Elephas maximus indicus: one gene and its partners. The protein of the gene in region 4 interacts with the protein of the main gene of each other region in a biochemical or structural test. Links are inferred from orthologs where the notes say so. Each region holds a gene or a part of one and is shown on either strand. Other genes may lie near its edges. The genes, in order: UBE2L6, UBE2R2, UBE2E3 and UBA1.

Region 1 (7,570 bases), on a different chromosome or scaffold from region 4:
AGTGGATTATATGATTTTAGCCTTATAATTCTGGGGGTTCTTGGTGTAGAGAAGCACCAGATCACTTCTCCCAGATTTAAAAACTTGGAACTAAACTCTCTTAGAAGTTTTTTCCCCTGAAACCAAGGTGCTTAACCCTCTTGCCCTCTTCCTAGAAAATCACTAGGTCTTAATTCTCTCTCTCCTTCCCTTCCTTCCATCAGCATCCGCCAAGTGCCCAGCATGATGAGATGTACACACAGTGCTCATGGCAGAGTGGGTGGCAAAGACATCGCCTCAGCCTTGTCAGACTCCACTCGCCCAGGGTTGGGGAAGGAAAACAACTCAGGCAGACCACAGCAGGTAAGAACTCTATACACCAAGCAGAGAAATAAGTGACAGGCAGGGACTCACCTTCTCAGAAATGTGGCCCAATCACCTGGCCATCACCCAATGACCTCAACAGCCATTGACTGAGCATGCTCTAGGGACCACGACATGGCTCAAGCCTCAAGAACAACCATGGAGTAATGGAGGAAACATGAATGCAATTACGAGAATGACGTGTGTGGATGCATTAATGAGGAGAGAGATGGGAACAGGAAGGCTTACAGGGGCTGCACATGGTGAGCCGGGCCATGCAGAATAAACAGGAGTCCACCACGCAGAGAAGTTGAGGGGCACCAAGACAGGCCCAATTAGGGCAAATGTCCCATGGAAAGTCAATAGTTATTACAGGAAAAGGGTTCCATGGATGAGTATGTTTGGGAAACACTGGGCTAAACAGGTTTCCTTACTGCAGGGATTTCCAGAGCCTTTAATTTGTTATTGCATATTGTGAATCCCCAAAACGTGAGCCCATAGCATGCAGTACTTCTCAAATGGATCTGACCAAGCAACCTCTCGCCCTTTGCTGATGACAGAACATTTTTTTCAAAACAACATAAAAATGACATTCAAGGGCAGGTCATACGTCTGTGAAACACCAAATGGGTATAAACCACTGGTTCTCAACTACAGGAAATTTTACGGAGCCCCCCCCCTCCACACCCCCGCCCAGGAACATTTGCCAATATCTGGAGGCATTTTTGGTTGCCATAAATGGGAGGCAGGAATGCTATTGGCATCTAGTGGGTAGAGGCCAGGGATGCAGCTAAACATCCTATAGTGCACAGGACAACCTCCCACAACGAAGAATTATCCGACCAAATGTCCATAGTGAGGAGGTTGAGAAGCTCTGGTGGAAACAAGGGCAGAGAGAACGTTCCCCAAACCCAGTTCCCAGTTGAGAAGGGGTCCTTTAACATTGTAGACCATCCGAACTTTCTATTTCCCCCTCCCAAAATATAAACACGCCTTTGTTCCCCGCCCCTTCACTCCAACACACTGCTTCTCACACCTTCTACCCAGATTCTATGACTTTTCATTTATTTTTTGCCCCAAACTAGAAGCATCTTTTACTACAAATCGGGTTCCGGTATCATCTGTTATTTTGGGGGCAACAATGAAGCCCAAGGGTGAATAGAGAAGCTCTGGAATGGACATTTTTCCCTGACTTTACTATTAACAGGAACATTTCGGATTTTATCTATTACAGGTGAGTTCTGCCAAAGCTTTCGCAACACCTGAGGATGATGAAACCTGAGCTAGGACACAAGGCTCCTTCCTGAGGCCTGTTAAGAAATCACCTGACTTAGAGGAAGAGAAAATGAAAGTAGAGTGACCATTGAAAGAGCCTGTTTGGAGTCCTGAGGACCCAGCTTAAATCCCAGCCCCATCTCTTCCTTCTTCAGTGACCCTGGATAAATGAGTTATTTTATCGGAGCCTCAATTTCCTCATCTGTAAAATGGGAGTACAGGGTTGCTGTGAGAATTGGATGAAACAACTGATGTAAACTGCCTGGCACGTAATGATGCCAGTGTGATAAATAAAACCAGCTGCCATCTAATCGATTCCAACTCACGGCCACCCCATGTGTGTCAGAGCAGAACTGTACTCCACAGGATTCTCGATGGCTGATTTTTGGGGAAGTAGATTGCCAAGCCTTTCTTCTAAGGCACCTGGGTAGACTTGAACTGCCAAATTTTCTGTTAGCAGCTAAGTGTGTTAACCAGTTTGCACCACACAGGAACTCCAGTGTGATAAATACTGGTTTCCATCTCTTTCCTACTGGAAAAACCCCTGCTCCATTTAGCAGTCGCCCTTCAGATTTCAGTTCTTCTGGGTTGAGCCTACTCTGGGTGACCCAGACTGAGACCCTCTTCTTCTCAGAGGCTGGGGGTAGCAGGCACTCCCCTCAGCCCCTCCACTCCATTCTGCAGATTAGAGGAACTCAGAGTCTGGGGGTGTCAGATCCACTTCACCAGGATTTTTCTCCATCTCCAGCTACACCCCAGCCCCCCCCAACCACCCAGGATTTTCCCACCTCCTGGTGGAATTTGCTCCATCCCCATCCTTCCAGACCTCATCTCAAACTGTGTCCCTGATTAAAACGAAGGCTCAAGGAAGGCAGGGATTTGTGTCCTTTGTTCACCTCTGCCTCCCTACCAGCTAGAACAGGGCCAGCATACAGTAGGCATTGAACAGCAACTGCAGAACAAGGAACAAGGCAGGCGCGCGCCACCGTCTCCAGGAGCCTTCCCTGCTCTGCTTCAGCATCTTCTCCACAGAGCGCTCAGGGAACTTTGACCTACTCCGGGTCAGCACCCCATGCTGCTTTGGACCCTAGTCAAGCAGGTATCAGCCCAGAGGACGGGCCATAGACTATTCCGAGGAAAGTACCTTGTCCCCTATCTCTGTGCATAGCCCACTCCCCACCCACAGCAGGGCGCCTGCCACCAGGATGAGGCCAGGAAACCCTCCCCGCACCAGAGACGCACGTAAATGTTCTCACAAGTTTCTGGCAGAAGTGAAACTGAAACCAGTTGGGGGGGCGGGGGGGGAATCCGATCGGCTCACTCCACCCCCAGCACGGCTCAGGGAACCAGCGACACCACACCCCATATGCCCCCTCCCCCCAAAAACACTTCCCTGACCCCTCGCAGACCCCCTTCTCCCCTGGGGTTAGGGAGCAGGAGATGACAGGCATTCAGCCGGCCCCAGTACCTGGACTACTGCGAGCGCTCGGAGAGCCGGCAGGGGAAAGGATGGAGGGAGTAGGGAGCCCGGGAAGGGGCGGAGGGGGCAGGGAGCCGAGGAAGGGGTGGAGGGGGGAGGGAATCGGGAAAGAGATGGAGGGAGGAGGAGCGGGGGAGAAGGAGTGTCCCAAACGCAGTTACCTTCGCCACCCGCTTCCTCGCTGACATCTCGGAACCGAGTGTGGGGCACTAGCGGACTCCAGCCGACCTTGCGAGGAGACTAGGCGCCCCGCCCCGGGGACCCCACCTCCGGGAGCCCCGCCTACGCTCCGCTCCGCCCGTGCGGTCGCCGGACGCAGCAGACCTGTTCCCCACTGGCTTTTCGAAGACAGAGGGGGCCCTGCGGGGAGAACCCGGCCAGGCCTCAGAGCCGCGCGCTCGGATCCGGACAGCTCGCGATCTTTGTTGGGGGGCACGGATGGTCCCTGGAGCGCGCGGCGTGCCTGGTCTCTGAGTCCCGGTAGGGGGCGCTCTGCATCAGGCGGTGAGCGCGCAGAGCGCGGGGCTGGGGTCTGCTCATCCGGGTGCTAGTTTCTGCCCGGGACTGTCCCAGGGACTCCTCTCCATCAGCCGGCTCCTCGTCGTCCTGAATACACGCTCACCCTAAGTAAATGCAGGGATGCAACTCTGCTCCGCGACAGGTCCCCCGGCGGCCTCCACCGTCAGACCACTGCCCTAAACCCCTCGTCTAGCAAACTCTTGGACCTGCCTGGACAGGACCCTTCTTCTCTCTGCGCCCAGTGCCCCATCTCTAAAAATGAGAGTTTGGGGTTCTTTGTGCTGTCCAGCATTCGGCGGCGGACCTACAAGGATGTTTCTCCCAGAAGGGTGCTTGGTGAAAAGCCCCACAAGGAGGCGCTGTTTGGACCCTTTCTCTCTTGTTTTTGCGAGTCGGTCGCCTGTTCATTCGGTCCTTGACTGCCCACCAAAAAACCCAGGCTTAGTATTTCATCAGCGCCGATCTCATGCTCGTCTGGGAAACAGCTGGGTGGGAAAGCCCCAAGACGGATTTCAGGAGCCTTCCCCCAGGGGAAGCTACTCAGCCTCCCTTATATTATCCCTGATCCATTACACACTGGGGGCCTACTATGTGCCCCCATACACAGCAGGCGTCTCCACCCCTCTGGGCAAGGGCAGAGACCCCTGCCCCAGCCGAATCTGAGCCCACCGCGAAACAGCAGCCCCTGAGTACCAAGCAGCAGTGTCTGAGAAAGAGCCTCCCAGACTCGGGACTCCCAGAATCTCCTAGACTCTGAGCCCTTCTTCTCCTCCCTCCCAGCCCCCCACTTCAGCTCAGATGAGGAAAGAAATCGGCATATTTTGAGCACCAGATTCAGAGTTAGGTACCTGTTTTAATTACCTAATGCTTTAACCACAGTGGGTGGCTCTAAAGAACAGAAATTTATTTCCTCACAGTTCTAGAGGCTAAAAGTCCAAATCGGGGTCTTGGTGGTATCAGTTCCTTCCTTGTAGGTATTTCCGAACATTCCTTGGTCCCTTAGCTTATAGATGATTGACACATAGCGTGTCCCCCATTTTCCTGGTGTTCCCATTTCTCTGCATCTCATGTACTCTTTTTGTAACTCAGAAGTGATTAGATTTAGAGCCCACTGTACTGTGTATGGTCTAATTAACATAACAGAGAAAACCCTATTTCCAGACAGGATTACATCCCCAGGCATGGGGGTTAGGAGTCCAGCACATATTTTGGGGGCAGACTCAATTTAATCCATAACAGTATCACACAGTTTTTGTCTTGGTACCAACTGACTTCTCTGCTCAGATGTGGGATGTATCTGCAGGACAAACGATGTTTAACTCGACAAACTTGAACTGAGTATCTTCTATATGCCAGGAATGATTAGGACACTGTCTAAAATCCCCTAAAGCAAGTAGACTTATTTCTGTTTTAAAGATGAGGAAACTGAATTCAATAGCTGGGATTTGAACCCATGTCTGGTCAATCTTCTCAGTTGCTGTTTTAAGTGCCTTCAAGTCTGTTTTGACTCATAGGGACCCCATGTGACAGAGTAGAGCTCCCCATAGAGTTTTCTAGGCTGTAGTCTTTATAGGAGCAGATCACCAGGTCTTTCTCTCCAGGAGCCGTTGGCTGGTTCCTTAACAAACACTTAATATTCAGTATTTGCCATGGGCCAGGCACTGCCCTTAGGGACTGGGGATGCCACAGTAAGAAAGTGAGGTCTCTGTCCTTAAGGAGCTCTCAGATTATAGGGACGGGGGGAGGGAATGTAGCCTCTGTGTTTTTAATGCAAAGAGGTGAACATGAAGATACATGCAATCATATGGTGTTATGGAAATGAGGAGGGCCATCACTGTACCCAGCCCTGGGGTGAGGAGCGAGCTTTCCTGGAAGAGTTAAAAATCTAAATGAGTTGTGAAGTCTGATAGGTTAGCTGGAGTGAGAACATGGGAGGAGGGTGTTCCTAGAAGTGGGAACAGCCTGATTAAAGACATGATGGCAGTATATATGGAAACTGAAAGTGGTTTCATGATGTGGAGCAAAAGTTTCTGCCTATGCCCTTTGTTTCTCCTTCCCTTCTATTCCAGAAACGCTGCATTCCTGCAGGCAGGCTGTGACCCCAGTGCCCCTGCCTGCCCGGAAGTGAATGTGTATATGTGTCTGCATTGTGTGTATATATGTGTATGGATCCAGCTCCGTCCTGCACAGCTGGGTGACCCATATGTCACATCCTTGCACAATGTGGACCTTTGTTGTCAGAACAAACCCTGAGCTGGGAGCCAGGAGCCTGGGTTCTGGTTTCACACATACTGTATGGCCTTGGGTGGGCCATGGAACCTTCCTAACCCCTTCATAGTGGACCTACCTGCCTCCCAGGACTGTGGAAAAGCTAAGCTCATGGAAGTGGAGGAGCTTCAAAAATTATAAGCAAGCCCAAGATATAAATAATCAGGTTGGAATCCCAACTCCACCATTATTGGCTAAATAACTTTGGGCAGAGTACTTAACCTGTCTATGCTTCTGTTTTCTCATCTGTAAAATGGGACTAATGATAGTATATACCTCACAGGTAGACGTGAGGGGCAATAATTTGATACTTGTAAAGAACTTAAGAATTTAGAACAGTGGGCAATAAGCGATAGTTATAATAATAATACTTATTATTATTTAAATGATGCCAGTTGCCTGCCCAGGGGGTGCTGGGTGGGAGGAACAGAGATTCCTGAGCTTTCTGCCTTTGGGCAATGACATATCTTTCTGAGTTAAAAAGCAGTTACCTTTGAGGTGACTCGGACTCATAGTGACTCTGACTCATCATGGCAACCCCAACTCATGGCAACCCCTTTTGTGTTAGAGTAGAACTTGGCTCTGTAGGGTTTTTGTGATGGTTAAGGTTGCGTATCATCTTAGCTGGGGCATAATTCCCAGTGGTTTGGAATTTATATAATGATGTGATTTGGCAGTTATGTAATGATGTAGTTACCTTCCATTTTTGTGATTTGATGTAATCATCCTCTATTTTGTGATCTGATGCAAGCAGCCAATCAGTTGAAAGGGGAGTTTCCTTGGGGGTGTGGCCTGCATACCATATATGGATATTTTGGCAAAGCTCACTCTCTTGCTCTGAATCCTGCATCCAGCTTATCATCATCTGACTTCTGGTTCTAGGGATCTGAGCCAGTGGCCTGCAGTATTGCCTACTGATATTGGGATTCTTCAGCCTCTGCAGCCTATGACTCAGCAGCCTGCGGTCTTACCTGCCAATCATGGGTTTCGTCAGCCCTGCAGCTATGTGAGTCAGGAGAAGCCTCTAGCCTGACACCTGACCCCACCAGCTTGGGACTTGCTAGCCTCTACAAACACATGAGCCATTTCATTTGTCTTCTCTGTCTCTCTATACATACATACATACATATCCAAAAACCAAAACCAAACCTGTTGCCATCTAGTCTATTCCAACTCATAGCGACCCTACAGGACAGAGTAGAACTGCCACATAGAGTTTCCAAAGCTGTAATCTTTACAGAAGCAGACTGCCATATCTTTCTCCTGAGGAGTGGCTGGTGGATTCAAACTGCCAAACTTTCAGCCAGCAGCTGAGTGCTTTAACCACTGCGCCACCAGGTTTCCTTCCTCTCTCTGATCCAGTCCCTGTCATTTATTCATACAATCTACAACACTTAAGAGCACCTATTGTGTGAGGCCCTGTGCTGACACTGCAAAGGGACCTACTCTGTGGACTTGGGGTTTTAACAATGAGTAGAAGAGATGCACATCTTTGTAGATGACAAAAGGTTGCAGGGAATAAGAAATTTTCTCAATACAGCCAAAAGCTTAAAAAGCCAGAGTAGCAGGGACCAGGGACGCCGATCTTGAGACCATGGTTTCAGGGGATATCTAGATCAATTGGCATAACAAAATGTATTAAAAGAAGGGTCTGCATTCCACTTTGGTGCAAGGCGTCTGTGGTCT
Region 2 (7,753 bases), on a different chromosome or scaffold from region 4:
AACTGCAGCTCTAGTAGAACACACCAAAAGCCTTGTTTTAAAACAGAAGCAGTGAAAGAAAACAATGGTTTTAAATCTATCACCAGTATTAACTACTCATGACCATAAATTTGCCTTTTTCCAATGAAGGAGTAATAGCATTAAAAGCCATACAATAAAGGACAGAAGAAAATGCAATTAAATTTCTCACACAAGACTAGATTATGAAACCTGTTCAGGAATTTTTAAAAGAATATTTTTATGTCAGAACTAAAAGTTAAAAAAAAAAAAACCTCAAGGATTAAGAAATCTAGCACACACAAGGAAATGAGAGATTAAACCATTATTTTAAACAGGACTGAAGTTTAAAAGTATTTAATCAATGTACGTTCCAACAAATCCTCCTTCCACACTAACTATTTCATCAAATCGAAAGGGCTCTCCATATTCCTTCCCCCCTCAAAAAAAAACCAAACCCAGTGCCGTCGAGTCGATTCCGACTCATATTCCTTCCCCAGTTAGGGAAAAATACTACAACTTACAATTCATTATTTTCTTTCAGAGTTTGTTTTTTAAAGGAAAAAAAAAAAAAACAACCTGCATCGGAATGGGATTATTCTGAACAGAACTCATGTACCTTGACTATTAATTGTCCGAAAGAATTATACTTTTTAGGAAATTAAACTTTATTCCACTAGTTAACCAACAGATTTTGCTAAGTATTACCTCGCTAAAAAAGTCAACACATAAATTCCATTTTGTGCAAATATTTTTCCAACATCTATAAATGAAAATTTGTATGTGACAACACAGTAAAGAGGCCTCAACATAGACCCAGCAATATTTTCTCCAATTTATCACTAATAACTTGTACACTTACTTAGTGATTGTAAATACCTACATCTGAGAAGTATTGAGTATGCTCACCACAATAGATGAAACACATAGTTGGTAAGGATACTGCTCTCATACAATGTTATGAAAATGCTCTTTTACTAACTTATTAAGTGACTACCACAGGCTTGAATATTAAACACTGCCACATCAATCCTTCAAATTTTCTACAAAGTTGACCCAATTTCAAGCCTGAAACTGAGGCTTATACCTTTAGAAAACAAGGGTTAAGTAACTGGGTAGTCCTAAAAATACACATCATAACTACATGACTAAGATACTCACTTAAAACTTGTGCCAAGATAGTCCCTCCCTTCAAAACAAACTAAAACTGGCTCACCGATTCTCTTTTATTTAATTTTGGAAATAAAAAAATTAAATTAAATGGATTCCTAAGCACTCATTTCCTCTGTCTCTGTCCCCACCATTTAAAATATTCAAACTTTCAATCTGTGAGCCATCTCTGCAAAAACGCTAAAATAAAAACAAAGAACTAAGTCATATCTCCAAACTATCTACCTTAGGAGTTAAAAAAAAAAAAAAAAAAAAAAGCTAGATTCAGGAATGATAATGACCACGGTTCTAAATCGTGGAAAACAACAGAAACCATGTCTACAGTCGCTGTCTAAGGAGCCAGCCCTCCCTCCCAGTGAATCACCTCACCTCAGATACTTTTAAACCGTGAGACCACCCTATTTGCTTGAGTAAACCACCTGAGTAAAAGGTTTCAATTTTGTGTCCCTAAAGTGGGGAACTATCAATCTCCCTCCATGACATGTTCCACCTTCTATATGTAGATTATTTCTACGTGTAGGAAAAAGAGCCAAGTAAACTCAGTGGCAGGGTGAGGACAAAGGGCACTCTGAAATACCACTGAAGTAAACAGAGCATGAAGACAGGAGGCAAAATTAAAGTTCTCTAAAGTGAATAACGGCAAGAAAACGCAGACACTCTCTTTTACCACCCTAGGGTCCTAATCCCCATTACTGCCCACTGGAATGCAAAGTTGAACTACCACTCCCCAGGAAATCCTCAAAATGTCAGGTTACTAGGCAGCCTCCAGGATGACAAGTTAGTACCCCTTCCCCACCCCCACCTCCACCAAACAGAAAAGCCCAATAAGTGCAGGTCACCCTGCCCTCTGGGGCAGTTCCAGCCTGCGCAGGGATGGTTCTGATGAGAGGACGAGAAGGGACAGACAGACTACCTTTCTTCCCATACACCCTCAGCTAAAGAAACAAAACAAAGAGCTCTCCTTCCCCAGGAGCCACTACCCCCGTCGGAGGAGAGGCTTTCCCATTTCCCGGGGCAGAATGGCCTCCCCTCCGCCCCCGCCCCCATGACAAAGAAAAGGCACTTGGTGAGCAAGGCCTTCCTGCCTCCACCGAAGAGGGAGGGGGCTGCCAAGATGAGGAGCCCCCTCCACTCACCCGCGCTCCCACTCCTGCCCGGCAAACAGCGGAGAGCGGCGGGGAGAGCAGGGCTCGGCTGGGGAAGCCCGGTCCGGAGGGGGTGGGGGGTACCTTGAAGTAGCCGCCTTCGTAGAGGGTGTTAGGGGGTCCGAAAATGGCCACCTCCCAGTTGTAGAGGTCGGACTCGTCCACCAGGGTGATCCGGAAGCCCTCCACCGGTTCCTCCTGCAAGGATTTCAGCTCCAGCATTAGGGCCTTCTGCGAGCTGGTCATCTGCTGCTGGGCCATCGCGGCGGCGGCGGCGGCGGCGGCGGCGGCGGCGCCGGGGCCCCAGTCCTCACGCACCGGCCGGGCCGAGCAGGCCCCTCCCCTCCGCTCGCGCTCGGGCCGGGCCGGGCCGCACCGGGCCCCGGTCTTCGCCCACCAGGCGGGCCGGACCAGGCCCCAGACGGCCCGTGGGCCGCCCCGGGTCTCCTCACACACGACGCGGGCCGGGCCGGGCCGGGCCCTTCTCTTCACACTCAGGCCGGGTAGGGGAAGGGGTTAAGGGAGTTAGGGGGAATTCGCTCCCGGTCCTGGGCCTCCCCCCCCCGGAGGGGGCCTCAACTGAGGGGGGGGAGAGGAGGTGGAGGCGGAGGAAGGCGGCGGAGGGCCGGCGATGGTGAGCGGAGGGGGCCGGGCCAGCCCGGGAGCGCCGCGTTCGCTCGCCCTCTCCTTCTCCTCGGGGGCCGCCGGAGCCAGAGGGCGCGCGGGGCCGGACGGGGAGGGGGAGTGCGGCGCGCGGGGGTCTCGCGGCGGCGGCGGCGGCGGCGGCGGCGGCAGCGGCGGCTGCGCGGGGGGAGGGGCGATGGCAGCGGAGAAGGAGGAGAAGAGCTAGAGCGCCTCGCGCCGCGGGAGCGACCGAGCCGAGAAGAAGGGAGGGAGGGAGGGAGGAGGGGCGCGCGCCGCGAGGGGGGCGGCTCTCAGCGGCTGGCGGCCGGACGCGCGTGCGCGCGCCCCTCCCTCCTCGTCCTCCTCCTCCTCTTCCTCCTCCCACTTCCCCGCCTCCTTTGGTCGGTCCAGCGCGGTGGCAGCGCTTTGTGACGCCGGATTGTGGTCCCGGCTATTAAAGAGCCAAGCAGCGATAGGAGCCGAGGACGGTCGCAGGGGGCAGCCTTGCCCCCAAAGTGGCGGTTGTGCGGCTCCACGCCGCGGTTCCAAAGACACACCCTCGAAGGGACCTCAAGTCCTAGAACAGTCCGCACCCTCCTCCCTGCTACGAACCAACACGAGCCTGCGCCCTGCGTAGCCCTCCTCAGACAAGCTCCAGTCCTCTGCAGGCCCCTCCCCGTGACACTCATTCTGCGGGCGCTGCACCCAGTAGGCGCTTAGGTCCAGCCGTCATGCCAGTGTGTCCTTGGGCAAGTCATCCAACGGGGGGAGAAGGGGTACTGCTAGTTTCCCATCTGAGAAATGGGGGAAGATAGATGGGCGAGTTCCTATTTCTTAACTACAAAGAGGAAGGGGGTGGGGAGTAATGACAGAGACTGAAGCTGGGTTCCTGGGCCTTCCCTGCGAGATTCTAGGCAGGTCCTGTCGCTGTCCCTCAGTTTACCAATTCGTAAAATGAAGTACCACGGTTGGACGTTGACTCCTACAGATCTTTTCAGCTTGAAGTTTCAGCCTGGAACTGACAGACTTTTGAGATAATCATGATTGAAGTAGAGACAGTCTTTAGTTCCGGTGAGTTTAGAATATCCCTTTCTCTTAGGAATGCTCGTCTTATGATAATTGCCTAAACATTTTCTGGAAAAGCCAGGATGTGAGTGTTCCAAGAGACTCCGAACTTGGGGAACAGAAAGATCTTTATTTCAACTCTGGCTCCACCGTTTACATTACATTACCTCTCCCTGTTTCATCAGTTTTGTAAAAGGTGGTTAATTACACCTAACACAAGCAATTATTGTTATAATTAAATGAGATCACCTGTGTACAGTTTTTAGCACAGTGATCGGCACATGGTAAATGATCCATAAATAGGAGCTTTAAAGAAATACAAAATTTTTTAAAGGCATAGCTGTATTTTGGACGCCACCCCTTTTTTTTTAATGTACTTTATTTTTTACAATAGCTTTAGACGTACAGAAAAATCGAAAAGATACAACAGAGTTCCCATATACCCAGCACCCAGTTTCCCCTATTATTAACACTTTTCCTTCCTATGGTACATTTGTTACAATTAATGAACCAATATTGATACCTTATTACTAACTAAAATTAATATCACGCACAAGTAAAATTTAGCTGAAAATAATTCAAAAGTGATTACAGCAGTACATCAACAGAGAACTACCAGAAATTCAAGCCAGATTCAGAAGGGATGTGGAACCAGGGATAGCATTGCTAACATCAGCTGGATCCTGACTGAAAGCAGAGAATACCAGAAAGATATTTACCTGTGTTTTGTGACTATGCAAAGGCATTCGACTGTGTGGATCATAACAAATTATGAATAACATTATGAAGAATGGGAATTCCAGAACACTTAATTGTGCTCATGAAGAACCTATACATAGACCAAGAGGCAGTTGTTTGAACAGAGCAAGGGAAGGGGATGCTGCATGGTTTAAAATCAGGAAAGGTGTGTGTCGGGTTTATCCTTTCACCATACTTAATCACTCTGTATGCTGAGCAAATAATCTGAGAAGCTGGACTATATGAAGGAGAACGCGGCATCAGGATTGGAGGAAGACACATTAACTTGTGATATGCAGATAACACAACCTTGCTTGCTGAAAGTGAAGAGGACTTGAAGCACTTACTGATGAATATTAAAGACTACAACCTTCAGTGTGGGTTACACCTCAACATAAAGAAAACAAAAATCCTCACAACTGAACCACTAAGCAACATCCTGGTAAACAGAGAAAAGGTTGAAGTTGTCAAGGATTTTATTTTACTTAGATCCACAGTCAACACCCATGGAAGCAGCAGTCAAGAAATCCAATGACACATTGCATTGGGCAAATCTGCTGCCGAAGACCTCTTTAAAGTGTTCAAAAGCAAAGAAGTCATTTTGAGGACTGAGGTGCAGTGTTTCATTCTGTTGTACATAGGGGTGCTTTGATGTGTAACTACCTCAACAGCATCTAGCAACAACAAGAACATATTTTATTCAGATTTCCTTAGTTTTTACCTAATGTCCTGTTCCAGGATCCCATCTAGGATACCACATTACGTTTAGTTGCCATGTCTCCTTAGGCTCCTCAGGGCTGTGACAGTTTCTCAGACTTTCCTTGTTTTTGATGACCTTGACGGTTCTAAGGAATACTGTCAGGTTTGGGATTTGTCTGATGTTTTCCTCATGATCAGACTGGAGTTACAGGTTTCTGGGAGAAAGATCACAGAGGTAAAGTGCCATTTTCATCACATGTCAAGGGTAGATACTATCAACATGACTTATTACTGTTAAAATTGACCTTTGTCACCTGGCTAAGGTAGTGTTTGTCAGATTTCTCCACCATAAAGTTATTATCCCCCCTCCCCTTCCATACTATACTCTTTGGAAGAAAGTCATTATGTGCAGTCCACACTCAAGGAACCCCTTTTTTTTTGTCTCTTTTCTCAAAGATGAGGTCAGTAGTGTCACTAGGATGCAGAGGGTGCAGGCCACACCGGGTACACTGTCAGAGGGCATGACACCAAAATGAGTGTCTATAAAAATTTCGTGCAGTGTTTCAGCAGAAATTTATTATTTTTCATTAAAAAATCCCTGTAGTTAGTTATAACAAAGACATTTTTCATAAGCCCAGCTTACATGCATCAATATCCCTACAAAACTAAAACGCTGCTTATTTACTTTTTGAACTTTCTAATGTGGTCAGAGCTGTCATAATGACCCAATTACAGTGAGGCTTCAAATTGGTTTTGCCTGTCCACCCTAAAAGCACATGCTGTTGTTTTCGTTGCTACCAGTGTGTTTATAGTCACTGATTTTGTCAAATTTTCCGACATTTTAGCTACAATATTGTGGTAATCAGTATTTGTGAACCTATATCAATAACTTTTTTGAGAATGAAGTAGTAATTAAAGGAAAAGAAGGAGAAAAAGAAAGGCTTCCACTCAGTAATAATATTGTAACTAATAATGTAATTCAATGTAAAAAGATTTTACAAAACAGTTTTGTTGTTAGTATTCACATGATCTGGAAACCCTGGTGGCGTAGTTGTTAAGTGCTACGGTTGCTAACCAAAGGGTCAGCAGTTCAAATCCGCCAGGCGCTCCTTGGAAACTCTATGGGGAGCAGTTCTACTCTGTCCTATAGGGTCACTATGAGTCAGAATCGACTCAACGGCACTGGGTTTCTGGGTTATTCATATGATCTAAGAAATATTACACTTAAGTAATTTGTAACTATGTTAGTCACATTATTCTATGATTAAAATTTATAATAAACATTACTAAGGATTTATATGGTCTGGTATAGGAGGAGGTCCATGGGGGGATTAACACCATGAGTTACTGCACTGGGTGACGCCAACCCTAGTGACGCCACTGGATGAGGTTTCAGTATTTAAAGAATCACCCCTAGCCCTCAACACCATTCTCTGTCTTGAGACCAAACTCCACTGTAATTAGAGTTTCCCTGAAGGGAGAGGGAATGTCCTAGTCAATGCAGCCCCTTCTCAAAAATGATGGCTTATGACTGGTCCTGGCTCCCCTCCCCCCACCACTCACTTTAGGGACAAGAGGACTGCTGACCCAGAAAGGTGGGAGGTGATGTGGACACCTTTAATAACAAAGCTATGAGTAGACAAATAGGCAGAAAGTTAATCTTCAAAACATTTCACCCACATAAACTCATAAAAGCCCCACCCTGACCCAGAGGATGGCAGGTCCCTTAGTCTAACTCACTGGGACATACACCTGGCACCCAGATCGGAAGCTGCTCTCAGGGCTCAAATCGACTCACAAACTCATACCAAGTATCCACTGTAATCATGGCCCCAAGCAGGGTAGCTGGTAAACATACCTGTCTGAAGGCTTACACCCCAGTGTGCGAACAAGCTGTATATTCAAGGATCTCCATCCTCAGGTCAGAGGAACTTGAATTCCACAGGACTGGTCTCATGCCTTTTTAATCCTAGCAGGTAAGACATTGTTTATTAGTAGGCTGCAACTATGTCTTATTCATCCCCATATCCTCAACAAGCAGCACACCACCTAACACAAAGTAAACATTAAGCAATTGTTCTATGGATTCACAGCCAAGGGCAGGGAGACAATCAGTAATCAAAAAATCACAAATCTTCCACCCACCCACCCCTTCCCCTGCCTAATATGATCTGGCAGGCATACAGTAGGTACTCAAGACTATAAATTCTGTAAGGACAACGGGTCTTGTTCATAACTGTATACCAGCTACTACAATACTCAAAAGTGCTCAAAACATATTTGTCAAAAGAATAAATGGCAGAAACAGCTTCCTA
Region 3 (7,499 bases), on a different chromosome or scaffold from region 4:
GTAAATAAGTAAGACATTTACACCTGACTTGGGAAATAGTCCTCCACTAGTACTCAGTAAAGGATATAAAATCTATTTTAAAACACTTTTTACCACAGAAATTCTCTTTTCAAGCTTATATGCAAATGAGACAAGAAGGGAGGAGGGAAAGCACTAGAATATTTGACAATGACTTCAAGTCACTTTTACTGAGGTTAAGAATTAACAAGCTACTGCAAGAACACCTGAATAGTTTTGACGATATTTTACCTGTTAAAAAAAAGTTTAAAATTTACAAATATATTTATCAGTGAAAAACTTACAAAGGACTCTTTCGCATTTTTATTTAACCTCCTCTGTTTTCCCTATCTTTTAAGTATCTTTTAAGTACAGCATTTAAATTTAATAAATTTGGGGGAAGCGGTAATAACATATATAGCCTTGAGTTAGGAAAAAAAGCAGTTCTCTGATTTTATTCAAATGAAAAATGCTTTGAAAACTTAAAATTTAGTACGTTCTTCAAAAAGACTGAATTATAAATTATTTCAAAGACTGCTGCTATTTAATAAAACATTCTCAAGTTATTAATGCTTGATTATTATACAATAGATATGAAAATCTGTAGAAAAATGAATATTTTAGAATCACTACAAAACACAATATTTGATCAGTTTTTGTATTTTCTTTGCCCTTTAGTTGCGATCAATAAAAACCAACAGAATGTCAATACTAATTCAATAGATATATCTGATGTATCTCTGTCCACATAATTCCTAGAGTTCATGGATATTCCACAACTACCCCCACGGATGGAGCCCCACCGATAGGATCTTTTCTCTCCAATACATATAAATCAACATGAAACAAGCAATTTTTCACTTATATCCAACAAAATGTTTCTTTTGTTGTTGAGTATTAATGTGTCAAGTGTCTCCACAAGTTTTAGTGTAAAAAGTTGCACAAGGACGATGAAAGTTTTCAATAGCCAAGTGACACTTAAAACTGTAAACGGCTGCCTTGCAGTTTTATGTGCCCTCACAGGCACAGAGGAATAACCATCATTTTAAAGTATACCTGGGATGCATAACTTAAAGACTTGTTTGTGAAACTGAGAACAGTTTGTAGCACGATTTTAAATCTGCTTTCACATATAGCCAAGACCTTGAATTTATAGATTTTCCAGCAAATGTGATTATTTTGGATCACTAAAGTTTCATGGAAAGGCACTGGTGACCTTCAGAAGTGTCAACTTCAATAAAGAAAAGAGTATGACTCAAAAAGTAAACATCCCCATTGTACCTCTAATTTGGGCTCACAAATTTCCCTTCACCAACTCCTTAATATGTCAGAATAGTAGTCCAATCTTTATTCAAGTACATTCTTGCTGAAGTTACTGAAGTACAGAATAAGTTTGCTTAAAACTATAATTCTATGGAAGTGGTTTACATATCATCTACAGAATGACAACTCATTCAAATACAAATAAGACCAATCGTGAAGCATTTTTTGAACTATTCCTACTGATCTAAAACCAACAAAGTGTCCGACCATTTGGAAGACAACCTGACAATGTGCTTAACCCTTTTTAACACATTACCTTTTAGCACTAGTGGATAACTTAGCAGTGGTTTTGCTAGAGAGTTTGGTGTTTTTCTTCTGCTGGGTGGCAGAAGGTTTTCTTTCTTCTTGTTCTTCAGGCTCTGGAGCGGCTGGGTCTCGCTGGTCTGCATCTGAACTACCACTGCTGGTGCTAGGGCTCTCATCATCGGACCTCTGCCTATCACTGGACATCTTGGTGAAGTTATTTCTTGGAAAACTTTTAAAGAGAAAAATAGGGGGGTAGGAAAGGTTAAGTCTAAGAAATAAACCAATAGCATTTTATTTTCTATAAATCAATTAAAATCGAATTTTAATAAAAAGGCTTCAAAAGTGTTCACACAAGGTTACAAGGGGAGGCGATGTGTCTCACAACGCCACCGTTCAAGGATTTACCGGACTCAAGTTAGAAAACCCACTCACATTTTTTTTTTCCATTCCTTGGACAATCTATCAATTGTCTACTTTCTCAGAAGGCATGAAACAGATTTGCCAGGGAACTTAGGCAACGAGCATTAATAACATATGACACACTGTAAATAACAGATCTCGCTGAAAAATGTTAAAAAGTCACTAATAACGTCTAAATATTTACACACTGACATTGGTCAAAGCTACCAAATTGCCTTTCCGAGAGGAAAACATACCCCGTTAATCACCCATATGCTTATTTAACGTGGCGATTCCTCCTCGCTGCACGTAAGGCTTTAAACACAACATTTAGAAATTTAAAAATCAACTAACAAGCTGCTCTAGCCGTTTCCACGGCCAGCAGCGAAGATTCATCCGGCCAAGAGAGAGCTGCCACCCTGGGAAAAGCAGAATCCAAACTGCACCTTCTGCAAAGCTCCCAATGCCACCAAGGTTCCTCGCTCAATTTTTACATCACGGACCGACATTTTGTCCAAAATAACGAGAAAAAAAAATCCCAGGAAAAACAAACAAACAAAGCCCCAAGAAGTGCAACAAATTTCCGCGCCCGTGGAGGCGAACCGCGGCCGGCGGCGGCGGCCGCCACGCAGCTCCGCGGCCCTTTGTGGGGAGGGCCGCGCGGGGGCCGTGGGCAGCGCTCGCCGCGCCGGGCGCCAAGTGATGCGAGCAGCCCGGCCGGCCCCGCCGCGGCTCGCGGACACCGGCGGCGCGGGCGCCCGGCGCGAACAAAGCTGCCCGCCCCCGCCCCCTCCCCCACCGCCGCCGCCGCCGCCCCGGCCGCCCCCCACGCGGCCCCCCGGCCCGGCTGCCTTACCTCGGCCGCCCGCCCGGCCCGCTCGCACGCCGCTACGGTGTGGGGGAGGGAGAGAGAAAAAAACCCTTCCTTAAGGAAATGGAGGCAGTTGGGGGGGGAAGGGGGGGGAGGGAAAAAAAGAAGCCGAGGAGGCTCTGGCCGGGGAGTGTGGAACATTGAAAGTCGGAGGGGGCTGTGTAGTGCCGGGCTCCGGCCGGAGGGTGGCGCCGCCCAGCGCCTTCGGGAAAAAACGGGGGGTGGGAGCTCGGCTGGGCGAGGGCGCGAGCTCCCAGCGAGGCGGAGGGGACGCGGGAGACCCCCGCGCACTGTGGCCTCCCGCCGCCGCCGCCCGGCTCGGCTCCTCCCGGCCGCGCAGTCAGCAAGTTCCTAGGCGAGCGCGGGGGAGGGGCGGACGCGGGCCGGCGCGCGTGCTCGCCGCTTGCCTGGCGGAGGGGCGCGCGCCGCCGGCAGCCGGCGGGCGCGAGCTACTCCCGCGCGCTCCCGCGCGCTCTCTCCGCGCCTACCTTCACCCGGGGGGCGCACGCGTCCGCCCGCGCGCGTCCAGGACAAAGAGCGCGGCGGGGCCCCTACAGGCTGGCCCCTGCAGGCCGAGGCCGCGGAGCCGGCGCTGGAGAGGACGGGGGCGCGGGCGCCGTCTCGCGGGGCTGCTGTGCCGCGGGGTGGCTTCCGGCCTGTGCCCGCCTCCGGGCGGAGGCTGCCCATTAGGCTACCCGCCCCGCGGGCCGAGGCTGGAGGGCTTTTCAGGGCGGGCGAGCCGAGGTCACCCCTACTGCTGGCAACATCCCCTTAGCCTGCGCAGGGTCGGGTATGGGCCCCAGGGTCCCAACGCCTAGGCAAGGGCCCTGAGCGCGTGGCTGGGAGTCCCCAGCTGCCCCAGGCTCTGGAGGACTGAGAGGTGGTGTTAAGGAGGCCAGCGACGCAGTTGGAGGAAACCTACCTGTTCCTCCTCATGTGAGCAAGACGAAGGGGCTAGATGGGGTCCTGGACATTGAGAGGAGTGAAAGGGATTTCGAGACCAGAGGACCAGCTTCTGCTTTTCCTTGGCCGTCAGCCTGCAGCTGTCGCTTCCAAAGGGGAGGCTTGAAAACTTAAATCCAAAACAATTTTTAAATGTCCTGCTGAAAATTTTTAAAGGTGGAAGAAGGAAGCTCACGGGGGTCTGGAGACTGTTCTGAAGTACTAAGCCAGACGCCAGTTCTGGAAAGAGTGATATCTAGATAAGCATTCAATGGAGATAGTGGATGTTAGTTTTGTTCTACCATTCTATCCTGTAGAGTCTCCAGGTGGACTTTGCAGTTTTTGCCCCAGGCACAAAGTAGCCAGAAGTACAAAAACTTCCTGTTAGCAGCCCAGACCTTCTCTAGCTACTGAGAACTTGTTCCAGTGATGGAGCCTCAAAGGAATTTGTGGATTCCTCTCAAGTGTCCAGGAGCTGGTTTGCTGGGAGAATATGGAGTTCACAGAGGGAGTGAGAATAGCAGCCACAACAGACAAACGAGAGTTAAGGGAAAGAAAGGAAGAAGACTGAGTGAAAGAACACATTTACTTATTTTTCGTTAAGTTTTTCCTCATTTTACTTAAGTTTTGGTAAAAGGTTGTTCACCACTCTGACCAGTAAGTTACGTTTCTCTCATTTTCTAAAGACACAGGGTACTTCATTGAGGGCTATGTTGCTAGGTGCTGGACACACAAAATTTACTCATTCAAGTATCATGCGATTAAGGTCAGGTACAAATTGTTAAAGCTCACCAGGTTGATAAGGAGGAAGGATATTTCAGTCAGAATGAACAGCATGTCTCAAGAAACTGTGAGGCAAGACCGTGGCATGTGTTATGGACAAGCATTTTGATTTAGCTGGACCAAAGGATGCTTGTAGGAAGAGTTTTTGGTACAAATATAGACAGAAGGTTTCCTCAACTTTGTGACACATTGTGACTCTACAGCAAAAGCTGGCTAATTTGGAGTTTGAGCTTTGTGCTATTTGATACTGGGGACTGTTAAAGGAAAACTGTATGTCAAAAGTGGGATGTTTTAGGAAATACCAGGGAAATAACCTGAAGGCCCAAATGTTCTTCGGCTTTGGGTATGGCAAAGAGATAAGGGAATAAGGGTATTTCGTTGTATTTTGGTAGAGTATTTTCTGCAGAAGAAACTGCATTGGTTGGAAAGCGAGAGAACTAGAGTCTAATTCTCATCCTACCTATTAGTTTGTGTAACCTCAGGCAAGTTACTTGTTCCAACTTAATGTTTCTTATGCGTAAAAGGAGATTGTGTCAAAGGTTCCAAGTCCTCTGTTGCTCAAAAATTCCATGATTCGTCAATGAGTTTGAAGTCGTGGCAGACATTACACTCAACATTCACTCAACAGAACACTTCCAAAAAACCAAACCAAACCTGTTGCCATCAAGTCAATCCCAACTCATAGTGACCCTATAGGACAAAGTAGAATTGCCCCATACTGTTTCCAAGAAGGGGCTGGTGGATTTGAACTGGCTAGCAGCTGTAGCTCTTAAAAACTGCACCACCAGGGCTAAACTACTAAATGCTGGAGAAATCAAGTGAAACATGGGTCCTTTTAATGGGCTCACTGTGTAGTGAGGCAGCCAGAAATGTAGTCTACAGACTGGTGTTTTATTAAAAAAGTGAACAGGGTGAGAGTGGAGAATTATTAATTATCAATTAATAATTATCAGTGGAATTACTGGATCCCTGGTTGCGCTGTGGTTAAGAGCTTAGCTGCTAACCAAAAGGTCAGCAGTTAGAATCCACCAGCCACTCCTTGGAAACCCTATTATTAAAAAAACAAAGTTGCTGTCGAGTAGACTCCAACTGATGGTGACCCTATAGGACAGAGTAGAACTGCCCCATACAGTTTCCAAGGAGCACCTGGTGAATTTGAACTGCTGAGCTTTTTGTTAGCAGCCATAGCTCTTAGCCACTATGCCACCAGGGTTTCCTAGAAACCCTATAGAACAGTTCTGCACTGTCCTATAGAGTCCCTATGAGTTGGAATCTACTCGATGGCAATGGGTTTGGTTTTGGTTTAATGGAATTATTAATTCAGCTTGTGATATGAATCAAAAGAAGTAATAATAACCAGAGCCTGGAAGGATCAGTAGGTGATAATATAGATAATGCTCCTGGCAAAGTCCTGGCACGTAGTATCTGTTCAATAAATACCAAAAAACAAACCAAACCCGCTGCTATGGAGCCAATTCTGACTCATAGCAACCCTCTGTATAGTAGTTAATATATTGTTACAGTCCTGATAAAGAGAATGAATGGCTCCGTAAGGGCAGGAATAGGAGCAACCTTCTCCCACAATATTAGGTTCCCAAATGCCTTCTTTCACCTGACTAATGGAGTCCTTCAAGTGGTTGACACAGCTCTCCTCCAGGGTAACAAGACATTACCACATTGACCAGAAGTAACTTGTAAATTATGAGTTGTTTCTAATGTGAAGTTCTTTCTATCTTGTTTTTGCCATGTCTATCCTTGAAATCCATGGCACAGTGGTTAAGCACTTGGCTGCCATCTTAGTTATCTTGTGGTGCTATAACAGAAATACCACAAGTGGATGGCTTTAACAAACAGAAATTTATTCTCTCACATTCTAGTAGGCTAGAAGTTGGAATTCAGGGCACTAGCTCCCAGGTAAAGGCTTTCTCTCTGTTGGTTCTGGGGGAAGGTCTTTGTCATCAATCTTTCCTTGGTCAAGGAGCTTCTCAGCACAGGGACCCTGGATCCAAAGGACACACTATGCTTCTGGTGCTTCTTTCTTGGTGGTATTAGGTCCCCCTGTCTCTCTGCTCACTTCTCTCTTTTATATCTCAAAAGAGATTGACTTAAGACACAACCTAATCTTGTAGATTGAGTCCAGCCTCGTTAACTTCCTCTAATCCTGCCTCCTTAACATCATAGAGGTAGGATTTACAGCATGTAGAAAAATCACACCAGATGACAAAATGGTGGACAATCACACAATACTGGAAATTGTGGCCTAGCCAAGTTGGCACACTTTTTGGGGAACATAATTCAATCCATGACAGCTGCTAACCAAAAGGTGAGCAGTTCAAATTCACCAGCCAGTTCAAGGGAGAAAGATGTGGCAATGCGCTTTTGTAGAGATCACAGCCTTGGAAACCCTATGAGGAAGTTCTACTCTGTCTTATAGGGTCACTATGAGCTGGAATCAACTTGATGGCAATAGGTTTCGGTTTGGTTTTATCCTTGAAATTAGGGATCAAGTTTTATAGGCCCCCCTGGGGCATACAGATGTAACCTAATGCAAATTATTCCATAAGCCATATAATAAATTTTTTTCCCATAAGGCCCCTCAAAATAGCACCACAAAGCAGACACCAGCTACCACAGGAAGGTTTTTCCATCTCAGTCTCCTGTTTTTCTGTTATTGGAATGAGGATCCTGCCAACCTTTCACCCTGAAAGAGAGCCAGTGGTAAGAGAAAAGATACTAAATCCAGTTGCAAAAGATATCACCACCTCCTCTTCCCTTTCCCACTAAATGTTGTGACCAAAAGGGACCTGTTCTTACGGGGTGGACTGGGCTCTGGGCAAGGCAGGCCCCAGAATCCTTAGGTCTCCCTAGATTGGGAGATGCTATCTCCTGAGCCTTTCAGTCGGTCTCGTGTGTGTGTGTGTGTGCGCGTGCAAGCGTG
Region 4 (8,019 bases):
ATGAAAGACAATGCTGCAGAGTCACAGAGGGAATGATGTCCCCTCCTCGCCACCCCTGAACTGCTCATGAGCCAGGACTGCCTTGATCCCACCAAACCCAGACTCACTACATGCCTTTGGCAGATGCCTCAGTTTCCACAACTGAAAATGGGTATAGTAACAGAACCCACCCACCTCATGGGGTTGAAATAAGTTATTATGAAAATTAGAGGATATGAATTATGGGACGAGATTAGACCACTGCTGGCACAAAAACACTTAAATTTTTAAAATATTACATAGTAATATAAAGGTAATTTATAAATATGTATTTATATTAATATGAAATTAGTTCTGGGTGAGGGTATACCCAGTCACTTGAGAAACCCCCACTTGGAGCATTATTTAAAAAATAATGCTGTGAAACACCCTCCCGGAAGAATACTGGAAAACAGCATGATAAGGCAACCAATGTCTGTGAAATAAGTAGGACAGTCTACCAGGTCACCAGATACAACCATATGCCAAAGCCCCAGGCACACAGTAAGAACTCAACACATTTCTGTTAAATAATAACAGACCACAGTAACTAATCCCCTACTAAGTGGTAGCTCCTGTGGTGTGTCCTTTCTATGCATTGTGCCACTGATATCCTCTTCAGGAAAACACCGTGAAGGTGGTGCTTTTATTAGCCCTGTTTTGCAGAGGAGGAAACAGGTTCCTTCCGGTTCTTCAGGTCTCAACTCAAATGTAACCTCCTTAAAAAAAAAAAAAAACTTAAACCCTTACATTTCTGGCCACCAGTTGCTGGCTGTGTGGCCGGGGACCAGACACTTCACCTCTCTGGGCCTTGGTTTCCCCATCCATAAAATGGTAATAATAATAGTAACCTACCTTGTGAAGGAGTTTAAATGAGTAAATATGTACAAAGCACTTAGAACAGTGCCTGGCACTGCTATATGACTAACATTAGTGGTAGTACTATTATATTGGGGAGGAGTGGGGAGGCATTATGGCACTTGGTTAAGACTGCAGACTCTGGAACTAGACTGGGTTTGAATCCTGGCTCAGCCACTCACTGGCTGTGTAACCTTAGGCAAATTACTTAGCCTAACTGTGTCCCAGTTTCCTCATCTATAAAAGGTGATAATAACCTACCTCCCAGAGTTGTTGTGAAGATTAAATGAGCTAATAAAGTGCTAAATGAGTGTTTGCTAATTTTATTATCATTATCCTCATACCCATTTTTCAGGCTCACAAAAGCTTTGCCAAAGATCACACAGCTGGCAAGGATTGATGAGATTTGCATCCAGAGTTTTTGTTGATAACATGGGATACTGGGCCATAAGGAATTATGAACAATGCATGAGGCTCCACTCCTTCGCTAGATGCAAGGCTTATACACTGGAACCTACGAGGGAAAGCTAACCACGGATCATGTAGAAGAGGCCGCAAAAGCCATGCCCCTCATGAATTATACGCAATGCCCCTAGGAAAAGAAGCCCTGGTGACACAGTGGTTAAGCGCTCCTGTGCTAACCGAAAGGTTGGCTGTTCGAACCCACCAGCCGCACTGTGGGAGAAAGATGTGGCAGTCTGTTTCCCTAAAGATTAAAAAAATCTATCGCCATCCTGTCGATTTGGACTCATAGCGACCCTATAGGACAGAGTAGAACATCCCCCTAGGGTTTCTAAGGAGCGGCTGTTGGATTCAAACTGCCGACCTTTTGGTTAGCAGCTGAGCTCTTAACCACTGCACTACCAGGGCCCCTCTGTAAAGATTACAGTCTTGGAAACCCTATGGGCCAGTTCTGTCTGTCCTATAGGGTCACTATGAATGAGGATTGACTGGAAGGCAATGGGGTGGGAATGGGCCCTTAGAAAGGCCGCAGAAAACATGAGGCTCTACTCACCTGCATGAATAGTCAATAAGCTCTAGTTTGGTGTGGCAGACCCCAAACCCAGCTTCAGCACACTGACCCGCCCCCTCGTGAATAATTCACAACTCAATACTTACAGTGGACCAGGTGTGAAAGAGGCAAAAATCTGCTCCTCTCAGGAAAAGCCCAGCAGACCGGGCTCTGGAGTCCCTGGGCACAGCATGGGGTCGGGGTTCCTCTCCCCAAAAACGTGTGGACCCCGACGTGCTCAGTCTCACCACCCTGGCTCCCCAAGTGCAGAGAGTACCCCATCATGGAACCATCAGAGGTCACAATGGCCATGAATACCTTCCAAATGCCACATCGGTCCTGAACGTTCTTAAACATTGTCAGCGGGACACTTCCTAATATAAACTCTCCCAAAATTGCGCCTTGACTTCAGGAACCTCAAACTCCGCCTCCCTGCTTGGGGGACACCTCAATTCCTCCCTCATGGACAGAGTACTCAAACGTGGACCCTAAGGGTCTCTCCCCCCGCCCCCCAAAAAGAAAAAAAAAACCAAACCCGTTGCCTTCCCGTCGATTCCAACTCATAGAGACCCTGTGGGACAAAGCCGAACTGCCCCATAGGGTTTCCAAGGCTGTAATCTTTACGGAAGCACACTGCCACATCTTTCTCCCCCAGATAGGGTTCGAACGGCCGACCTTTCGGTTAACAGCAGAGCACTTAACCACTGTACTACCGGGGCTTCTTGGTCTCCCCAAACATCCCCCTAAACACTGCCTCCGAGGGGGTATGCCCCAAAACAGGCTTCCAAATCCCACCCGGAGTCCTCAAATGCCACCTCCTAAGGATCCTTCCAAAACAGACACCCCTAAATGCTACCCTGGGCCTGGAGCCTCCAAATGCGCCCACTAGGGGATTCTGAAGTTGAGCGCCCTGTTCCAAATGCTGTCCAAGGGTTGGGGGCACTGTGCTCCATCTTACCCCCTGGGCCGGGCGGAAGCCTCGCCTTCCTGCTAGAGATGAGCCGATGCCACGGATCAACGGAAGAGCAAATCACCTCCGTCGTGCAATAGGAGCCAGAGTTTGCTCGGAGTTCAGAAGCGCGGGGCCTTAGAGGTCCCCTGGGCTGGGCCCTACCACAGACGCTTGGCTAGAGGGGCACCTGTCCCTGCTTCCGCGCAGCCAGCGCCCGTTTCAGACCCAGACACCCCTACAGACCGTGGTAGTCCCGGACGGCGCGGGGCATGCTGGGGGTGGTAGTCCTGTCTGGCCAGCGCCTGATGCACGTGGTGGGCATCGGCTCCCAGGGTAAGGGAAAATGTAAACCTGGGCCGCGGGCGCAGTGCTCTTGGGGGAGTGGGAGAAGGGAGCAGAACGTGGAGGTGCTTCCAAACGGAAAGGCACACCCACCCTACAGAAGGGGAGACTGAGGCTCAGGTGGCCAGAGGAGTTCATTCACTTGACATCTATGGAGCTTAAACTGTGGGCCAGGTGCTCATGGAACTGACATTCTAGCTAGACAGACAGACAGACCATAAACATAACAAATAAGTAAAAAATCATAATTTCACATATAAATATGTATTATAATAAACATGTGACATAAATTATGTGTAATGTACAATTTTTTTATCATGATAAAAATTTTTTTAACATGATAAAAAAAATTTTTTTTTTAACCTAGCTAGTATTTATTAAAATGATTTACATCTGTATATAATAAATTTGGAGCCTTAGTATTTATTAAAATGATTTACATCTGTATATAATAAATTTGGAGCCCTGGAGGCATAGTGGTTAAGAGTTCAGGCTGCTAACCAAAAGGCCGGCAGTTCAAATCCACCAGCCGCTCCTTAGAAACTCTATGGGGCAGTTCTATTCTGTCCTATAGGGTCGCTATGCGTCGGAACCGACTCAATGGCAACGGGTTTTGGTATAATAAATTTTTTTTATGTTAAATACATATATTAATGTGTGAATTATATAAATAAATATTTATTGGTAAAGTAGAGAGGCTCAGTGAAAACGAGGGAAACCCTTTAATGAGATGGACTGACATAGAAGCCACAACAATGAACTCAAACAGACCAATGATCATGAAGATGGCACAGGACAGGGCATCATTCTGTATACCTGAGGCCCACTTAACAATAACATTGTATACATATGCTAACTTCTAAATGCTATGGGGGAAAACAGGACAAGGTAAGGGGAATCTGTGGGGATAGGCTGCAATTTCAGACAGTGTGGCCAGTGAAGGTTTCACTGAAAAGATGACATTTGTGCCAAGGAGTTTATTTAACACAGAATATCTTTATCACCTTATCCCAAATTCTGTATCTCATACCCTGTTAGCAACCTCCAAATTCGTTCATTTGAAAATGATTTATTGAGCGCCCACTAAGTGCAGGGCCCTGGGGATATAGCAAGGAACATAGCAAGGGTCCCCTTGCAGTTGTCAAGATCTTGCATCACCTCAGAGAAGCCTTGCCTGATACCCACAGTCTAAAATAGTCAGGGAATGCCTCTCTGAGGAGGTGACATTTGAGCAGTGAGGGAGTGAGGAAGTGAGCCATGTGTAAATGTGGAGGAAAGCATTCTAGGCAAAAGAAACATCAGGTGCAAAGCCTTGAGGTTGGAAGGATCGTGGCATGATTCTGTGTAGATGGAGAGGAATGAGGAAAACCAAAAAAACTAAACGTATTACCACTGAGCTGATTCTGACTCATAGTCCCTCTATAGGACAGAGTAAGGGAGGCAGACTGTCACACCTTTCTTCAGCAGAGCAGGTGGTGGGTTCGACAAGCCAACCTTTCAGTTAGCAGCCGAGCTCTTAACCACTGTGCCACCAGGGCTCCTTGAGGAATGAGGAAGGGAAAGTATTAGGAGATGAGATCAGACACCAAATCAAGTAGGGTATTGTAAGCCAGGCTGAGATGTTTGTTTGGCTTTTACTCTAAGATCCGTAGGGAGCCTTAAAAGGGGTTTAAGCGGAGAAGTGACATAATATAAATTATGTTTTAGAACAATCTGGTTGCTCTGTATGGAGGGACAAAGAGGGTTATAGGGGCAAAGGTGGAAGAATCGAGATCTGTGAAACGGCTACTGTAAGAGTCTAGGAAGTGATGAGAGGATCAGACCAAGATGGTGAAAGTGGAAGTGGTGAGGAGTGATGATTCTGGATTGATTTTGAAGGTAAGGATGCCAAGGTTTGCTGAGAGATCAGATGTAGGGCATGAAAGATAGAGTCCTGGCTGACCCCCCAGGCTTTTAGCTTGAGCAGCTGGAAGGATAGAGTTGCCATCAACTGACATGGCACATAACTCCATTACGAGCAGATATGGGGGAAGATCAGGAGTGTGTTTTTGGACATGATAAGTTTGGACATGATTATGGGGCCCTGGTGGCCTAGTGGTTAAAAGCTCGGCTGCTAACCAAAAGTCAGCAATTTGAATCCATCAGCAGCTCCGCTCCTTGGAAACGCTATGGGGCAGTTCCAATCTGTCCTATAGGGTTGCTGTGAGTAGGAAACGACTCAACAGCAACAGCTTTGGTTTTTTGTTGTTGCTGTTAGACATCCAAGTAGAGGTGTCAGTTGAGTGAATAGCTGGGGACCGGGTCTGAAATTCAGGGGTTGGGAATAGGTCTGGGCTGGAGATACGGATTTGAGCTCATGAGAGGTGGAAATTGATGCCATGGATGTGTCAGAGTTCTTCTCTGAAGAACTGATTGCCTTCAAATGTCTCAGAGGCAGTAATTGAGGCCGAATTTGACTTGGACAAGCAAGAGGGGAGAGTTGGAGGAAACTACTTGAGCAAAAAAAAAAAAAAGCTTGTGGAGGTAAGAAAGAGGGGAAAAGTAGAGGGAGAGGTGAGGGGAAAGGCATTTTGCATTGCCTTCAGCAACATAGAAGAGTGCCGGTTTATTCACAATCTCACAGAGTGTATTGTCAAGCTTTTGGATGTTTGTCAATCACTGTAATTAGAATTTTCATTTCTCTTATTATGAGTGAGTTTAAGTATCTTTTCACAGATTTGAAGATAACTGCATTTTTTTTTTTTCTGGGAACTTTCTGTGCATGTCCTTTGCCTCCTTTCTATTGGGTTGGTGTACTTACGGATTTTCAGGAACTTTTTAAAAATAGAGTCTTGAGGATGAGAATGATTTGAACAGTTGTGGTGTGTGCATTTATTCACGTTTCCAATATCTGGTACGCCAAACCCTACTCTAGGCACTAGGGATACAGCGGTGGACAGGACAGATAAAAATCCTTACCCTCATGGAGCTTGCACTTCAGTGATGGAGACAAACCATATAGAAAAATAAATAAAATATACAGTACATTAGAAGTTGAGAAGTGCTATGGAGAAAAGCAACGCAAGGAAGGGGCATAGAGAGTATGGTGGAGGAGGGGTTGGAATTTTAAATAGGGTAGTTAGGGCAATCAGAAGTGACATTTGAGCATTCAGATGTCTCACCTCTCTAGTCTCCTTCAGTCTTTCCTTGATTTTCATGACCTTGACACTTTTGAAGATTACAGTTATTTTGTAGAATGTTCCTCAGTTTGGGTTTGTCTGATGTTTCCTCAGATTTGATTCGGGCTCTGCATCTTGGATAGGAATACACTGTATCACAGAAGTGATGCTGTCTTCTCATTTCATCTTATCAGGTGGTGTACAGTTTTAATACTGATGATGCTCACTTTCATCCCTTGATTAAAATGCTATCTGCGAGGTTCTCTACTGTAAAGTTATTATCTTTTCCCTTTGTAGTTAGCAAGTATTTGGTGGTGAAGTACTTTAATACTATGTAAATATTGTTCCTCATAGAAGTTTAACCCACTGAAATTCAGAGGGTTTTATCATTTGTTTTATAATTATTAGACGACATTCTATCGTAAAGAAAAGCTTTCCCTCCTCCATTTGTTTCCTCATTTATTCCTTTATTTATATAAAAAAAATTATATAAGTATGGATTAATGGATTCTTGCGCTTTATCAAAGTTTTTTCTGTGGTTGAGATTATTGTTTCCTTTTAGTCAGTTAATATGTTGTTGTTAGTTGCCATTGTGTAGATTCCACCTCAGGGTGACCCCACGTGTGCAGAGTAGAACTTCTTCAAAGGGTTTTCAAGGCTGTGACCTTTCAGGAAGCAGATAGTCAGGCCTGTTCGCCAAGGAGCCTCTGAGTGGGTTTTGACTAGTATGTAAGCATTTAACCATCGTGCCACCAGGGTTCCTTTTTTAATATTTTGTTGCCATTTTGTGCCTAAAATTTTTTATAGTCTTCCACATAGAAATGCTGAGAATTTCCCACAATAATACTGTTGTGTTGTTGACTGCTGCCAAGTCAATTCTGACTCATAGCAACCCTATAGGACAGAGTAAAACCACCCCCATTCAGTTTTCTTTGGCTGAAATCTTTATGGAGCAGATTGCCAGATCTTTTTTCCCGTGGAGCTGCTGGGTGGGTTCGAACTGCTGACCTTTCAGTTAGCAGCTGAGTGCTTTACCCGTGCCACCAGGGCTCCTGTTGATAATAGAGGACTATATATAAAGCTTTTCTGACGTTGACTCAATTTTGCATTCCTGGGATAAACTTTATTTGATCAAAACGTATTTGATAAATATACTATTGGATTCATTTAGCTAATATTTTATTAAGGATTTTTGTATCTACAACTATACATGAAATGGGCTTGAAAATTTTCTTGTATTGTCTCATCTGTTTTGGGGACCAAGATTATACTAGCCTCCTAAAATAAACCATCTTTTGATCTTTTTCTAATGTTTAGAACAATTTTTATAAGATAGGAACTGTTCTTTGGGAGTTTGGTAGAATGCACCTATTAAAAACCATCTGGGCCCTTTTTGGGGCAGACAGGGAGGGAAGCCTTTGACTACCATTTTATTACTTATTTCAAGTAATCTATTTCTTCATGGAACAGTTTGGGAATTTTATATTTTTCTAGGAATGTATGCATTTCATCTAGGTTTTCAAATATATCCTTTCATTATTTTTAAAAGCTCTTTTGCAACTGTAGTAAATTTCCTTTTAGTTTTGTACTTTATCTGCATCTTCTGTCTTCTTCATCAGTCTTGCCAGAGGCCTGTCTTTCCTCTTAATTTTTGTTTCAACGATTCTGCTTTTGATTTT

What was found.
Region 1: of the proteins of UBA1 (region 4) and UBE2L6, one has a biochemical effect on the other in vitro, tested with the Homo sapiens proteins (2 studies listed by BioGRID). The link is inferred for Elephas maximus indicus from reciprocal best matches to the Homo sapiens genes UBA1 and UBE2L6.
Region 2: of the proteins of UBA1 (region 4) and UBE2R2, one has a biochemical effect on the other in vitro, tested with the Homo sapiens proteins (5 studies listed by BioGRID, with this or other methods). The link is inferred for Elephas maximus indicus from reciprocal best matches to the Homo sapiens genes UBA1 and UBE2R2.
Region 3: of the proteins of UBA1 (region 4) and UBE2E3, one has a biochemical effect on the other in vitro, tested with the Homo sapiens proteins (3 studies listed by BioGRID, with this or other methods). The link is inferred for Elephas maximus indicus from reciprocal best matches to the Homo sapiens genes UBA1 and UBE2E3.

What each region holds. Positions count from the first base shown.
Region 1 is NC_064825.1:118,988,857-118,996,426, forward strand, and holds the start of UBE2L6 (ubiquitin/ISG15-conjugating enzyme E2 L6), read right to left. Parts: upstream 3,435-7,570; 5' UTR 3,286-3,434; coding exon 3,259-3,285; intron 1-3,258. UniProt on the Homo sapiens protein: Catalyzes the covalent attachment of ubiquitin or ISG15 to other proteins. Functions in the E6/E6-AP-induced ubiquitination of p53/TP53. Promotes ubiquitination and subsequent proteasomal degradation of FLT3.
Region 2 is NC_064827.1:42,628,989-42,636,741, reverse strand, and holds the start of UBE2R2 (ubiquitin-conjugating enzyme E2 R2), read right to left. Parts: upstream 3,206-7,753; 5' UTR 2,574-3,205; coding exon 2,397-2,573; intron 1-2,396. UniProt on the Homo sapiens protein: E2 ubiquitin-conjugating enzyme that accepts ubiquitin from an E1 ubiquitin-activating protein, and catalyzes its covalent attachment to other proteins by an E3 ubiquitin-protein ligase complex.
Region 3 is NC_064824.1:79,193,403-79,200,901, reverse strand, and holds the start of UBE2E3 (ubiquitin-conjugating enzyme E2 E3), read right to left. Parts: upstream 3,432-7,499; 5' UTR 3,325-3,431; intron 3,189-3,324; exon of another isoform or gene 2,822-3,188; intron 2,623-2,821; exon of another isoform or gene 2,412-2,622; intron 2,368-2,411; exon of another isoform or gene 2,320-2,367; intron 1,796-2,319; 5' UTR 1,771-1,795; coding exon 1,577-1,770; intron 1-1,576. UniProt on the Homo sapiens protein: Accepts ubiquitin from the E1 complex and catalyzes its covalent attachment to other proteins. In vitro catalyzes 'Lys-11'- and 'Lys-48'-, as well as 'Lys-63'-linked polyubiquitination.
Region 4 is NC_064846.1:124,611,804-124,619,822, forward strand, and holds the start of UBA1 (ubiquitin-like modifier-activating enzyme 1), read right to left. Parts: upstream 3,053-8,019; 5' UTR 2,847-3,052; intron 1-2,846. UniProt on the Homo sapiens protein: Catalyzes the first step in ubiquitin conjugation to mark cellular proteins for degradation through the ubiquitin-proteasome system.